Linked DNA regions of Cricetulus griseus. The protein of the gene in region 1 interacts with the protein of each later gene in a biochemical or structural test. Links are inferred from orthologs where the notes say so. Each region holds a gene or a part of one and is shown on either strand. Other genes may lie near its edges.

What was found. The genes of interacting proteins can lie anywhere in the genome.
Region 2: the proteins of importin subunit alpha-5 (region 1) and Pkm form a complex in vitro, tested with the Homo sapiens proteins (2 studies listed by BioGRID). The link is inferred for Cricetulus griseus from reciprocal best matches to the Homo sapiens genes KPNA1 and PKM.

What each region holds. Positions count from the first base shown.
Region 1 is NC_048597.1:53,645,393-53,648,892, reverse strand, and holds part of importin subunit alpha-5, read left to right. Parts: intron 1-2,211; coding exon 2,212-2,337; intron 2,338-3,500. UniProt on the Homo sapiens protein: Functions in nuclear protein import as an adapter protein for nuclear receptor KPNB1. Binds specifically and directly to substrates containing either a simple or bipartite NLS motif.
Region 2 is NC_048597.1:171,214,744-171,218,243, forward strand, and holds part of Pkm (pyruvate kinase PKM), read left to right. Parts: intron 1-1,372; coding exon 1,373-1,504; intron 1,505-2,012; coding exon 2,013-2,199; intron 2,200-3,323; coding exon 3,324-3,500. UniProt on the Homo sapiens protein: Catalyzes the final rate-limiting step of glycolysis by mediating the transfer of a phosphoryl group from phosphoenolpyruvate (PEP) to ADP, generating ATP.

The sequences.
Region 1 (3,500 bases):
TTTATTCAGTAGTGAAAGTATAAAATCCGCCATGAAGCTCCACAGCTTCAGAATGGCTGCCCTAACTGTATAGAGGTTCACTAAGATGTATAGACTTCAAATCTGGTTGCTTTTGGTGTATGATGTTTATATTATTTGCAATTTTTTTTAATAATGAAAGTTTATAAAATAAACTCTTAACATTTGTGACAAAATTGTTTTTAGAAAGTTCTATTTACTTTTTTGATTTTCTGTCATATAAGGGCAGAATATTTGTCCCCACTGGCTCTTCAGCCTTTTGCCACATTGGAGATGCAGTAAGAAGGTCTCTTACACCAGGTATTGGTGCTGTAACTGGATTTTCCAGCCTCCAGAACTGGGGGAACTAAATCTCTGCCGCCTCCTCCTCGTCCTCCTCGTCCTCCCCCTCCTTCTCGTCCTCCTCCTTAAATAAACAACACTTTTAGCTTGTAGTTTAGTAGGTAACACGTGGCTTTGTTTTAGTTTTCATTTATTTTATTGTGAAGAATTTTTAATTTTTTCTTTTTAATTTACATAATTAAGATAAACATTTACTCTAGTGTTTTTTGTGTGTGTGGTTTTTTTTTTTTTTTGGTTTTTCCAGACAGGATTTCTCTGTGGCTTTGGAGGCTGTCCTGGAACTAGCTCCTATAGACCAGGGTGGTCTCGAACTCACAGAGATCTGCCTGCTTCTGCCTCCTGAGTGCTGGGATTAAAGGCGTGCGCCACCAACGTCCAGCTTATTCTAGTTTTTTAACATATATTTCATGTATTTTCTTAAATTTATTTTTATTTCATGTGCATTGGTGTTTTGCCTGCATATATATCTGTGTGAGGGTTTGGAGATCTGCCTAAAATTGGAGTAATGAACAGTTGTGAGCTGCCTGGTGGGGTCCTCTGGAAGATGAGCCAGTGCTCTTAACTGCTGAGCTGTGTTTCCAGTCCCGTGCGGGGGCCGCGCCCCCCCCCCCCCCCCCCCCGTGTGTGGTTGTGTGTGTGTGTGTGTGTGTGTGTGTGTGTGTGTGTGTGTGTGTGTGTGTGTGTGTGTGTGTGTGTGTGTGTGTTTCATTTTTTTTGAGACAAGGTTTCCTGTGTGACAGCTGTGGCTATCCTGGAACTCACTCTGTAGACCAAGCTGGCCTCCAACTCACAGAGATCCGCCTGCCTCTGCCTTCCAAGTGCTGGGATTAAAGTCGTGTGCCACCATACTTGGCCCCTATTTGTAGTTGGCTTTTAAAGATTTATTCATTTTATTTTATGTGTGAGTCTTTTGTGTGCATGTGTATATGTGTACAACATGTAAGCTGGGTGCCTATGACGACCAGAGGAAGGCATCAGATCCCCTAGAACTGGAGTTGAGGATGGTTGTGAACCACTATGTGGGTGCTGGAATTGAACCTGGGTCCTCTGCAAGAGCATCAAGCGCTCTTAACCACTGAGCCACCATCTCTCCAGACCATAGTATATTTTTTAATACTAATGTCATTGTAGTTGTGTATTATGGGTTTTGTTCTGTTTGTTTTCTCAAGAGCAGAGTATGACTGAATCTATCAAACTGTGCTTATATTCAAGATCTTCTCATGTTTGACTCCCAAGTGCTTGATTATGTACCACCACACATCCCAGTGCTTGTGAATGTACACAGTGAAACCAGATTCATAGTCTTTAATGTATTTCAGACTAGTACTAAATAGTTTTTAAAGGACTGAAACGTTGTCCCAAATGGTAAAAGCACTTGTCACCAAGCCTGATAGCCTAAGTTTGATTCCTAGGACACATGGTGGAAGGAGAGAACCAACTCCAGCAAATTTTTCTCTGATTTCATGTGTACTATGGTATGCTCAAGTCCAAACACATACATCTTCCCCATGAATAAAGCTATTTTTTTTTTTTTTTTAGAATTCCAGAGTTTTTCTTCTACATTTGTAGTAAAATAAGTTTGTTTTAGGTTTTTTTGTTTGTTTTGTTTTTGAGACAGGGTTTCTCTGTTTTTGAGACAAAAATAAGTTGAGTGAAAAATGCACTTATTACTACCTCTTGGGAGGTGGACAGAAGATGATCCAGGATTTCAAGCTCATCTTCCAGGATGCACTGAGTCCAGCCTGTGCTGTATAAGACCTTTCCTCAACAGAAAAACCAACAAAAATCCAAAACCAAATGATATTTGAAACTATACCGTAAGTAAAACTTAAATTTTTTTTTTTCTTTCAGGTAATTTTGAACTGCTCAGCTCTTCAGAGTTTATTGCATTTGCTGAGTAGCCCAAAGGAATCTATCAAAAAGGAAGCATGTTGGACAATATCTAATATTACAGCTGGAAATAGGGCACAGATCCAGGTAATGCCTTTTTATCCCTGTGTGTGAGATACATTTTCAGAAGATTTTATTTATTTTTATTTATGTGTATGTGCCTGTTTAACTGTGTGTATTATGTGCATGCGGTGCCCTTGGAGACCAGAGGAGGAGGGTATTGGATCTCCTAGAATTGGAGTTATAGGCAGTTGTGAGCCTTCTGTAAGTGCTGGGTATTGAACCTGGATCCTCTGAAAGAGCAGTAAACACCTGAGCTGTCTTCTCCAACCCCTTTTCTATCCTTTCAGTAATAGGTGAAGTTATTTTGGTCAGCCTTTAAAATACAGCCTTCCTTATTTCTTCTAAAACTACCAACGACCAGTGTCAATATATCAGTCTAAGATTATTTTCTTCTAATGTTAGTTTTTGATACTTAGACGATGTATTTTCTTTTTACCTTTTAAGTTTGCTGATTTTACCAAAGATCAAAAAAAAAAAACCTTTGTGTTTTCAGAATGTTTTGGTGGACTATATGCTAAATAAGTTGGCTTTACTTCGTATTAAATTATATTTTCCAGTGAACCCATGTGTTGGGTTGTGTAAATTTTTCATGGACTATTGAAGGCCTTTTTTGTTGTTTGAGACAGGACCTCATTTTGTTGTAACCCCAGCTGGCCTGAAACATACTGTTTAGACTAGACTGTCCTTAGAACTCAAAGAGATCTTTACCTCTTGAGTGCCAGGATTAAACATGTATGCCATCAGGCCCAGGAGGATGTTTTCTTTAACTATGCCCCTTTGGAGAATTTCTCTCTCTCTCTCTCTCTCTCTCTCTCTCTCTCTCTCTCTCTCTCTTCTCTCTCTCTCTCTCTCTCTCTCTCTCTCCTCCCTCCTCCCTCCCTCCCTCCCTCCCTCTGTCTCTCCCTCTGTCTCTCCCCCTCCCCCTCTCCCTCTCTGTCTCTATTTTGATTTTATTTATTATCTATACAATGTTCTGCCTGCATGTATGCCTGCAGGCCAGAAGAGGGCACCAGATCTCATTATAGATGGTTGTGAGCCAACACATGGTTGCTGGGAATTGAACCCAGGACCTCTAGAAGAGCAGTCAGTGCTCTTTACCTCTGAGCCATCTCTCCAGCCCTATTTCTTTTGGATAGAGGAAATTGTACTAACCTGTGTTAGGTTCCTGGGCTAGTTTCAAGCTTGAA
Region 2 (3,500 bases), about 120 Mb from region 1:
ATTCCCTCCCTCTGACAGGAACATCTACCAGCTGCATCTGATCCTTTCCCATCCTTGGCAGTCTTGTAATTACACCTCTTGCTGGTCACATGGGCAAGATGAGTATTCTTGCTGAACAGGCAATGCTGTACTGACTTTTAAATGGCCTAAATTTAGAGCCTCTACAAGGATGGCACTCATGGATTCCAGTCTTCGTTCACCATTTGGTAATGCGCCAGCAAAGCCATAGCTGTGACAGAAGACACGATCTACCTTCCAAAAGTGTACCATAGGTTGGCCATACAAAGAATTTTAATAATGGGCCACCCAGTGTTCTAACCTTTGGGATTATAATGCAGTTTTATATACACGGTGCCAAATATGTGTTTGTTTAGAGCACTTGTGAATGGGCTGAGGTGTGTAGCTCAGCAAGAACAAATCCCTGGGTTCAAACCTCACACATACTTATAAAGATACATTAGGCCAGAGGGAAGGATTTTAACTCCTATAAAGTAGAAATTATTCAGCTGTAATTCTTCTATGGGAATTAAGGGCAACCTCCAAAAAAAAAACTATTATGAGTACCTCTCTAAAATGAATCAAGCAGTCAGTAGTTACTGTCAGAAAAGATTAGCTCTCAGGCCGCCTGTGGATGAAGGACAGATTCAGGCTTCCAGGTGTCTTAACTGGGCACAGTGGTTAAAAGACAAAGCCCTTAAAATGATGAATTATATATATGTCCTGTGATCAGTGGCGTCACACAGATCTGCACTATCCACAGATTCTATAGCTGTCTTGGCTCTGACTCCCAGGTAGAAAAAGGAAAAGGCCTTTGGGGGTACTATTGCAAGTGAAGTATAGTGAACGGTAGTTCTATCAGAGATAGGCCACTAATCACCGGTTCCTCTCCTTTTCTAATCAGACCTAAGAAAGTGATTGTGAAAGGAGGTGTCTGCATATGACCAAGCAATGAGCTGTTTAGCTTGGACCATTGTTACCTTAAGTCAACAACTTTGGGTTTGAATTGACTTTGGGATCGATAGTGGAAACAGACTGCCAGGGCAGACTTCAAACACAAATCCTGGGTCCTTTACCTGCCCCAGTTGTTAGGCATCTTTGAGTCCTAGGGATACTAGGACAACTGAAGGGACACATAGCTGCTTTAAGAGTAGGGCTTTAGTGACAGTGTTTCAGAATGTTCTTGGGATTTGCTATTGGAGTTAGTTCTGTGGTGGGGAGAATGGATGCTGATGAGATTAGTGGGTTGGGGATGAGGATGGAATTCAGACCCTTTTCTTTCATAAGTGATTGGTCAACTTTGGCTCACAGGTAGGGAATGGGAACTGAAGTCAGGTGTGGGGCACCTGTCAGTCAATCTCCCTTCTTTCCCCAGTATCACGCAGAGACTATCAAGAATGTGCGAACAGCCACAGAAAGCTTTGCATCTGACCCCATCCTCTACCGGCCTGTTGCTGTGGCTCTGGACACAAAGGGACCTGAGATCAGGACTGGACTCATCAAAGGCGTGAGTATCCTAGGAAGTGCTCTGAGGGCAGGCAAACCCTCCCTCCCTGGTAGCTTTCTCTAGTTTCTGACTGGGTAAGTTTTAGAGTTAAAGTCTACCAATGATAGTGTTTTTATTAATGCATATGGGTGTGGGTGGTTTTTTTGTGTGGCTATGCACCACATGTATGCTGTGCACTGCAGTTATGGATGTCTATGAGACCCACCATATGGGTGCTGGGAATCAACCTAGATCTTCTGCATGAACAGTAAGTGCTCTAAACCACTGCACCATCTCCAGTCCCGGCATGAAAATGTTTTTTGTCATTGCTCTTTTCATCTGCATAGCTAGGAAACATGGGGGTTGGTCCTTAATTTTTTTTTAACTACTTAAGTCTCAATGGTGAACGGAGCTTAGAATTTCTTCAAAGGAAGAAGGTTGCTTAGTACTCCGAACCAGGGTTTGAGCATCCCCATTAGGGGTGTGGCTTCTGCAGTTCACACACCCACGGGCTGTCTTGAATCTACAGAGCGGCACTGCAGAAGTAGAGCTGAAGAAGGGAGCCACCCTGAAGATCACCCTGGACAACGCCTACATGGAGAAGTGTGATGAGAACATCCTGTGGCTGGACTATAAGAACATCTGTAAGGTGGTGGAGGTGGGCAGCAAGATCTACGTGGATGACGGGCTCATTTCACTGCAGGTGAAGGAGAAAGGTATGCATGGCGCATGGTCCATCGCCAATTCCCATCTCCAGCGCTCTCAAGTTGAATCTTTTTTTTAAGATTTTATTTATTTATTACGTATACAACATTCTGCTTCCATGTTTATCTGCACATCGGAAGAGGGCACCAGATCTCATAACAGATGGTTGTGAGCCACCATGTGGTTGCTGGGAATTGAACTCAGGACCTTTGGAAAGGAGTCAGTACTCTTAACCTCTGAGTCATCTCTCCAGCCCCCAAGTTGAATCTATTTTAACTCCTTTTGGTATAGCACTCGCCTGCATGTATAGGGCCTGGGTTCAATCTCCAGAGGATCAGAAGTTTAAAAAAAAAAAAAACAAAAAAAACAAAAAAAAACTCCCCAAAGGGCCAGGAGGGTGGGGCGAGCCTTTAGTGTTTAGTCCTAACACTTGGGAGTCAATGGCAGGTGGGTCTCTCAATATGGCATGTAGAATATTTCTATGTGCCTTTGAAGTTTTTGTTATGTGCACAGTGTTCTGCCTGAATGTCCACCTGCATGATGGAAGAGGGCACCAAATCTCATTACAGATGGTTGTGAGCCACCATGTGGTTGATGGCAATTGAACTCAGGATCTCTGTAATAGCAACCAGTCAGTTCTCTTAACCTCTGAGCAATCTCTCCAGTCCCTCCTGTGTGCCTTTGAATGCCAGTTAAATCTTACCTGTTTAAATGGTTTATGTGTTCGTTTCATTTTGGTTTTACGAGAGGGTTTTTTTGTTGCCTGTGCTGGGCTTTACTATGTAACTGAGGCCGAATGAGGCTGATTCACTAGCTTAGCTATTTATTTTGAGACAAGGTCTCACTTTGTAGCGCTGGCTGACATCACTGTGTAGATCACCTTAGTCTTGAACACAGATTTTTCTGCATCTGCATCTTGAGTGTTGGGGTAATTAACCTGTGCTACCACACCCAAAATTCAAAACATCTTCGCAACTTGTACATGGGTATTGTTTATAGTTGCGGAAACTGACAGTGTCAAATTGACTCAGCCTGAGGTCTTGTAATCTGGCTTTCACGTGGCTCTAGTTGCCTCAGTGATGTGACCTCCTGCAAGAAGAGGCAGGTCCTCATCACTGATCCTTCACTTACACAGGTGCTGACTACCTGGTGACAGAGGTGGAGAACGGTGGCTCCTTGGGCAGCAAGAAGGGGGTGAACCTCCCCGGAGCTGCTGTGGATCTCCCTGCTGTGTCAGAAAAGGACATTCAGGACCTGAAGTTTGGAGTGGAGCAGGGTGTAGACATGGTGTTTGCCTCTTTCATCCGCAAGG